Linked DNA regions of Tribolium castaneum. The protein of the gene in region 2 binds, or shares a complex with, the protein of the main gene of each other region. Links are inferred from orthologs where the notes say so. Each region holds a gene or a part of one and is shown on either strand. Other genes may lie near its edges.

Region 1 (3,819 bases), on a different chromosome or scaffold from region 2:
ATGTCCCACACCATGACAGCCCCTAAAAATGTTCGAGCAATGACTTTCAATAAAAAATTACAGTACCGTCTTTAGATCCGGTGGCTATTTCGGGGGCCCCGCACCCACTGGCAACCCCCGCAACTCCATCAATGGCGTTAATGACCCCGCGGTGCTTCTCCGTCTTATAAATCGGGATTAAATTCTCCTCCAAATCCCTACGAGACTTAAAAATTTTGGCCAACTTTTGGACGACTTACCAGACTTGTAACCGCCCGCTGAAGTCGCCAGTCGCAAGGTGGCGGTCTCTTAAACTCGAGGCGTGAAACGTGCCGCATTTAAAGTGGTCTTTCTTGCCGAATTCGGCCACTTTTTCGATCCCATCACCACTGATTGAGTAGGTCTCGATAATTCCAGCCCCGTTTGATTTGCCCCCGATTGAGACGAATTTCGCGGAACAGGGGATCCACTTGACGTCGTGGACGGTGTAGTTCAGGGCTTGCTGCACGTGGCAGATTATTTGGGGCCTTTGGAGCGACTCCATAACGTTTGATTGATCAAACAATTGTTGTCATAGCAAAGCGCATTTTCGGGGGCAATAATTGCCCAAGTTTAAATAAAACAAGCTGTTCTCGTTACGTTTTTAATTATTTTGTTTTTTTTTTTCACCCCCGTTATATCCTGCAATGTTCTTTATTTTTGCAGGAAATTAAGCCCTTCGTTAGGGCCTTCGACTGTAAAAAATCATGTTCGGACAAACAGCCATTGGGACCTTTTTTTACGGCTGTAAAAAAACAATTAGCAATACATTTAAGGATTGCTCTAATTAGTCAAATTATTAACTAATTTGTCCAGCAAATTAGGTTTAGAGCATTCTTGTCAGGAAAAAAGGAAACAGCTTCCAAAGCATTCGAAAAAAAGATTTTTAATTGCATTTTATTCGTAAGAAAGTGAGGTTAAAAATTTGACAACTTGCGCTCTAAATATGTCGTTTCAAATATAAACAGAGTAGTGATAAAAGTAATTATTTTGCTTCAATTCGGTGATTATGTAAGCGCAACAACACTATGATATGTTAGTGACCGTCAAAGTGTTGTTTTTCGCTAAATCGAGAGAAATCGTGGGCCAAAAATCCGCCGAACTTGACCTGCCGTCCCCCATCTCCTACAAAAAGCTTTTAGAAACACTCGTCGGCACGTATTTTTTGGCCGAAATTGCCCAAAACATTATTCTCTCCCTCAATGAGGAGTTTTGCGACGTGGAAAGTGTCGAAATTGTGTTAAAACAGGGCGACGAAGTAGCAATAATCCCACCTCTGAGTGGCGGTTAGGGCCCCAAAATGAATTTTTTGAAATTCACCGAAGACAAGCTAAGTGTTGAGGCGTTGACTGATCTAGTCGCCTCGCCGAAATGTGGCGCAGTCTCGGTTTTTATGGGGACCACCAGAGACAGTTTCGGGGAAAAAACCGTCCTTAAATTGGAGTACGAGGCGTACGAAGCCATGGCTTTGAAGTGTCTCGAAAAAGTGTGCGGGGAGATCAGGGCCAAGTGGCCTCAAGTCGAAAATATCGCAATCTATCACAGGTTTGAAAAATTTAAATTGGGGCCAAATTTTGATTTTTTTTTGTTTAACAGACTGGGGGTTGTGGGGGTCAAGGAGGCTAGCATTGTAATTGCAATCGCGTCCCCCCACCGTACCGAGGCGCTGCAAGCCACCGACTGGTGCATCAACAAGGTTAAAGAGAGTGTGCCTATTTGGAAAAAGGAGATTTACGCTGAAACTGAAACTCCTCCACAGTGGAAGGAAAATAAAGAATGTGGGTGGTCAAGTAAATAAAGTCTAAAATTGATTGGCTCTCATTTATAGCCCCCAAACCGAAAAAATTCAAGCTCGAAATCGAGCCCAAAGTCGAAATTCCCAACGTTTCGCCCCATTTGATTCAAATCAAGGCCTCAAACGCGGACTTGAGCAAACGAATCGAGAATTTTATGGAGATGAAGCGAAACGAAATCAACATAAGCAATGTGAGAGAGTTTTGCACAAGTAATCGAAGTTCAGAGTTCACTTGCGCCCGAGTCGATGCGGTTTTGCAAAAACGCAAAGACTCCAATGGCCATTTGCAAGGTTCGTGGCCCTTAAAAAATCACAATTTTACGATTTTTATTCCAATTTTTACAAGTCTGCTAAAAGTATACAACTGCACAGGGTTATTCTATTTGGCACCAGACATTTTTCATTAATGTTTAGAGAACACATTTTTATCTGAAAATAAAAAAATTAACGAAAAAATTAAGACTTTACGGACAGGACACAAATGTGCCGAGCATGACCTCCTTGATGTATGCAGACAACTTCGTTAAAAATAATACATCAAGGAGGCCATGGCGCCGAGTAAAAATTGACTGAAAAAAAAGAGCAAAGAAACTGCACGGTCAACACGAGAAATATATTTTTAACAGACTAACCCTCTATAAATTTAGCAAAAAATGTCGGGGAAAAGTGCTACTTTTCGGACGATTTTCGAAAAACAAGTATTTCAGACTAATTTTTTTGCAGTAAGTCGGGTTTTGAACACTTACCACCGCGACCAAACAAATTCGGACTACCTGACCAAATACATCCCCCAAAACGGCATTGAGGAGCGCCTCCAAAACCTGGAAATCCAACTCAGTTTGACCACCCCAACCCCGAAAAATATCTACACCCGTTTGAAGAAACTAGAAGACCGGATATTGTTCCTTGAAACGATTTCGCCCGAATATATCAATTTTTGGGTAAGCTTTTTGAGAGATTTCCCTCCCTTTTTAGTGAAATTTTTAGGACAAAAGCCACTTAAACAATAGATTTGTGAAGAAGAAGGTTTTCTCAGTTGAGGAAATCGATTCGCTAATTAGCGATTTGGAGCGGAAGGTTCAGGAGGAGAAAAAATAAATCTGTTTTTAGTTTATTATTATTATTAAAAAATAAATTACGTAAATATTGTCGGGTCGGTAAACCTGGCCGTGAAAATGTAAAAAAAAGCCGGCAGTGGGACCAACAGTAGCAACAATGAGTGAAAAGTCGGGTCACTAAGCTGAGTTATTGAAATTAAACCATAGGCGTGTAAACACCAATGGCCCACTAAGATTACCACATTTCTCGGGTCTACAACTGTTGTTATGATGAGTGAGGGAATCGATTGGTTGATTTTGAGGGCAAAGTGATAAGCACACGAAATAACTGACAAAATAACGACCAAAATTGGGAACGCATAATCTGGAACAAAACCAATCAAAAGTGTGATTTTTGGCGCAATCATTACGTACAAAGAAGTCCCCCAATTAGGGCATGGACCACCACCAAAATCGGTATATAGTACATGGCGGCATAAATCGACATTTTGCTCTGCCTTGGAAGGTATTTCCGGCAAACCCATGGCCTTATCAAAAGCATAACAATCAAAGTCAGGGCATAAAAAATAAAAACTAGCGTATACCTAAAACAAAAACACTCAATAAAGTAGTATAATCAATTAGTAGCCCTACAAGGGATACACAGCCTCCTGGGTACAATGCACCCTCTTCTCATAATCCGGGGCCGGATTATGCAACAAAGTGTACCAATCGGCCAAGCTGCGCACTCTGCAGTTCCGCACCTGGAACTCGCCGAACGGGTGCGTGAAAAGCACCGACAAGAGCCCCGAAATGACCACTTCCACCAGCGCAGTCAAGTGTAAAATTAGGACGTCTTTTTTGAAGCTACAACGAACAGTGAAGGTGTGACGGGCAATAGGGGGCTCACCTTCGTCGCATCGACACCATGTCGATGAAAAACCAGTGCAGAATCTGGACCAGGAGCAC
Region 2 (4,236 bases):
ATCTTCAGTTTTTCTCTGAATTCTACCCCCCTAGGTAATGTTGGGCACAAAAATTGGGACAATGAGAGGAAATAAATAAGAAATATTGAATTGAAACGCTTTTATATTAATCAAAAAGATTCAACCAGTGAATTCTTGAATGACATGTTAAAAATCAAAGCGCATGCGCGCGCACTTTTTCAATTTGACAATTAACATTTAAAAAATCCAACAAAGAAGACGAAAAGTTCGAGGAAACTGTCCCACGTTATTAAAAGTACGGAAGGGGGTCATGGAGTAGGTAAATGTTGTTTTCAAAACGGCGCTGATGTTTTTTTGCAATAAGTGTTTGTGTCCACATTGGCGCTGGATGCTCCTAACATCAACAAATGAAGAAATCGTATCTAATATCCACTTCAGGGCAAAACACATGCAAAATTATTATTTGGTTTTGCTTTTGTGAGTATTTTTGACTTATGGTGATCAGGCCTTTCAAAAGGTGTTATCATTCAAAAAATTTTTGACGAGATTTGTAGATTGCAAACTCTTTTTGACTTATTTTTTAACATTCCATGTTTATCACTTTTGTGCCGCAGTAAATAAGTAAATACGGCACTACCTAAATCCAAATCAAACTACAACCCCTACACTCATATAACGTATTATTTATTTACAACTCAAATATTTTTACTTTTTTCCTCCCACTCTAGCCACCCCCCGGAATAATTCTTTATATCTTTGAACCCCAACTTCGTCGCAATCTCGGACGCAAGGGCACTACGTTTCCCCGAACGACACGAAAAAATTAAGGGGGTGCTAGAATCAGGTTTAGCCTTTTTGTAAGTTTTTTGAAATTGTTCAGAAGGCATGTCTTTTAACACTTTCTCGACTTCGCCAAGTGGAATATTGATGCTGTCAGGAATAACTCCGGTTTCCTGCAATTCGTGGGGCTCCCTGACATCGATTAGAAGAGTCTTAGGAGTCGTTTTTACTGACTTGACTTCATCAAATGAGGCGATTTGCGTTGCGAAAAGTCTAAGAAAGACGGGCGTTTTGTTCACAAGGGAGAGGATTTGGGGCCCCCTTGATAGCGACATTGGTAACCTAACCTAAAAAATAATTATGTAATTAACTTAATTGATTAGTTTTTGTAAAGTGAACTACCATAGCGCCAATAAAGCGATTTTTACTATTTTTTATCGCCTGTTTTATTAAATTACGACAGTTTTGGCAAAAATCAGTTTGGAGACTTTTTACAGTCACCGTTGGTATCACACAATTCACACAAAACAAATTAGAGGTCCCGTGGCTACAATCAAATTTTCCCCAATTATTTTTTTTTTCACGTTTTATGCCGATTGCGTTCGAATTACATAATAATTTCATAAATAATCGTCAAAAAACACCGCACTAGTAAAGTGCTAGTGCTTTAAATTTTGCCAGGTAGGCAGCGCTTGCCGCTCACATAACCTATGCACATAACCTAAGTTTTTGTGGTATCCAAACAGTTTTCGAAAAAATGGCAAACGCAAACACCGACTTAACCGAAGAAGACGCCGCTGACTTGCAGTTTCCCAAAGGTGAGCCCCCTTGTTTACTTCTCGTTCTCAACTGAGGTTTCAGACTGTGGCCCCCCTGCGTTTTACTCTAGTGACTCTGATAGTGTTTGTTCGAATTGTTCGTGCGATTTGGTCGCGCCTTACATTTATTGCGCTTTGTGTAAAGTGAATATTTGTTCGCTGTGTTTTTCGAAAGGTGCGGAGTTTGGGGGGCACAAGAACGATCACGATTATCACATAATCCGCGACGATTTTCCGGTTTGGGGTAACACGGACTGGACGGCTCGGGAGGAGGTGGTGTTGTTAGAGTCGTTACAAAAATACGGGAACTGGAATTTAGTGGCGAAAGAGTTCCCAAATCGGAGTGTGAGGGAGATTAGGGCGCACTACGATTGGTTTTATTTAGACAGAAAGGGGTCCAAAGACTTGCCCGAGGCGAGCAAAAGGGACTGGTTTTGTGAGCCGGTGGTGCCCTACAGACAGCGGATTAGCGACACCGATGAGCCCCCTCGCTACTCCCCCAACACAGTGGGGTACAAGTCTTTGGCCGGTTATAACCCCGCGAGGTCCGATTTCGAATGCGAGTTCGATTCGTCGGCTGAGGATCTGCTCTCGAACCTTAAACCGGTTGATAAGGACGATCCTCATTTTGACTTGATCACAAATCTTCAATGTGCGATCATTCAGAGTTATAACCGGCGGTTGAGGGAGCGCCAAAGGTGGAAAAAAATCATAAGAGAACACGGATTGATTATTCTGCGGAAAGTTTACGCTTGGCTTCATCGGTATGACGTTACGATTACACGTCCTGTGTATGAAAAACTGATCCGATTTATGCAATTTTGTACTCCTGTCCAGTTCGAAATGTTGATGGAGGGGTTACACCACAGCGGCGAACTCAAAATACAAATTCTTAGGTTCATATCAAACGGTTGAATTAATATAAAGTTGGTTATTTTCCATAATAGCGGCTTATTGAGTTCCAAAAAAACACGACGGAGAAAAAAATGTTCACTAAAGATTAATAAAAACAAAGAAAAATGTTAAAACATACTTCAACAGTTAGTGGCGTGACGAAAAATAATACAATTTGTATTTTGGAAAAAAAAACACTTGTAAAATTCGATGAAAAATTCTCAAACTCTTCAATATTCACGGAATTTTACAAAACATTGTGTTCAACTCGTAAGTTTTTTCCAGAAAGAATTCACTTTTTCTATCTCGTTGCACAAATAGCTATTTACAATGGAACCGTTTTGGTTTAAAAAAATCTCGCGAAAAAAGTTATATCACTCGCTAAATGCAGAATTAACATTTTTTTCAAACAAATCGGCGCTTCAACACTCGAAAAAGCAAATATAATGCTAATTTCGTTCTAATCGCAATTTTTTTGGCTTCTTTTTGAGCAAATGTTGCGAAATAAATGTGTTTTTATGGATGAACGTGGTAATAAATCTCATAAATAGTAAAATATTGTCATCTTCGAGCAGATTTTTTAAGCAAGTTTAGCAAAATTTCAGTAAAAATTGCGTTTTACCTTAAAAAAACGAGCTTTAAAATATGATAGTTAAGAATATAATTACATATATATTTAATTATTTTATTTATTTATATAATATATAATTGTTATTATTATTTATATTTTATTATATTAAATATAATTAAAAATATAATATAATAATAACAATTTGGTGATTACGTTTTTTGAAGAAATGCTAAACTTTCGAAAAAGGCAGAGTAATTAAATTAAATTTCTCGTTCAAAAAAGGAACTTAATTGAGCAAAGTAAACTAAAATAACCCCAATTTAGATTTAATTCTGTGAATTTCTAGCTAGAGAATTTTTAAACACTTTAATTTTTACCTTAAAACATGTATAAAGGCTCACAAAAAGCTGCAACATAGCATTAATTTTGGTCTTTAAAAATCTTCGGCTTGCAAAAGCAAAAGTTTTGACTTAATTTTGTGATTTTTTTGAGTAACATCTTTTTTTGATTGATTGACAAAACTCCTCATTTTTTGGCCAAGAAAAACGATCGACTTTTGTGTTATCTCCTCCTGGTTTATGCTTTTATGTCATTTTTAAACACAATTTAAAAAAAAATGCTAAAACACGTGAAATTGCAAAGTAATGTTTTTTGGCGAAATATCACAAAATAAGAATTTTCTAATTATGTTGTAATATTTTAGACGTGTTTTGGCAAGATTATCCAAACTAAATAAGTAGTAAATTTACCAATCCAAAGTAAACAACAACAATTTCGATTTAATTTGTGGATTTTCAGTTAGTTTTTGCAATTTTTTTTATTTTAAAACATGCCCAAAGATACGAAAACGACAACATTAACACAATTTTTGGTGTAATTGTAAGGTTAATAAAAATATATGAAAGAGAATTTTTAGCTAAAAACGAACTAAAAGGCTTTGAAGAATTTTTGACAGACAAAATTCTTCAAATAGCTGTAGCCTGACGAACAAGAAAAACGTTTGACTTAGTTTTGTGATATTATTGGTATTTCGTTCTAACAAAATCTTGCAAAAACGAAGTTACTTTACACATATTTCGGCAATTTTTTGAGAAATTTTTGCAAAGCTCGCAAAATAAATATTCTTTTATCTGGTTGAAAACCTTGGTTAAACATGAGACATAGCAAATAGTGCTACATTCGATCCAGTTCTCAATTTTGAAGAATTTTTTA

The links. The genes of interacting proteins can lie anywhere in the genome.
Region 1: transcriptional adapter 2-alpha (region 2) and Mocs2B share a complex: the UniProt entries of both Drosophila melanogaster proteins name them as parts of the ada2a-containing (ATAC) complex. The link is inferred for Tribolium castaneum from reciprocal best matches to the Drosophila melanogaster genes Ada2a and Mocs2B.

Annotation. Positions count from the first base shown.
Region 1 is NC_087396.1:21,505,740-21,509,558, forward strand, and holds Mocs2B (molybdopterin synthase catalytic subunit), read left to right. Parts: upstream 1-1,318; coding exon 1,319-1,563; intron 1,564-1,614; coding exon 1,615-1,796; intron 1,797-1,846; coding exon 1,847-2,104; intron 2,105-2,536; coding exon 2,537-2,754; intron 2,755-2,800; coding exon 2,801-2,911; 3' UTR 2,912-2,948; downstream 2,949-3,819. Other genes in the region: Wdr92 (dynein axonemal assembly factor 10), read right to left, coding at 1-22, 67-197, 240-523; Mocs2A (molybdopterin synthase sulfur carrier subunit), read left to right, coding at 1,052-1,309; JNK1/MAPK8-associated membrane protein, read right to left, coding at 2,949-3,235, 3,286-3,455, 3,505-3,717, 3,761-3,819. UniProt on the Drosophila melanogaster protein: Catalytic subunit of the molybdopterin synthase complex, a complex that catalyzes the conversion of precursor Z into molybdopterin.
Region 2 is NC_087398.1:11,844,503-11,848,738, reverse strand, and holds the start of transcriptional adapter 2-alpha, read left to right. Parts: upstream 1-1,417; 5' UTR 1,418-1,498; coding exon 1,499-1,559; intron 1,560-1,602; coding exon 1,603-2,455; intron 2,456-4,236. Other genes in the region: rhodanese domain-containing protein CG4456, read right to left, coding at 657-1,088, 1,144-1,146. UniProt on the Drosophila melanogaster protein: Component of the histone acetyltransferase (HAT) complex ATAC; predominantly involved in acetylation of histone H4, including at Lys-6 (H4K5ac) and Lys-13 (H4K12ac).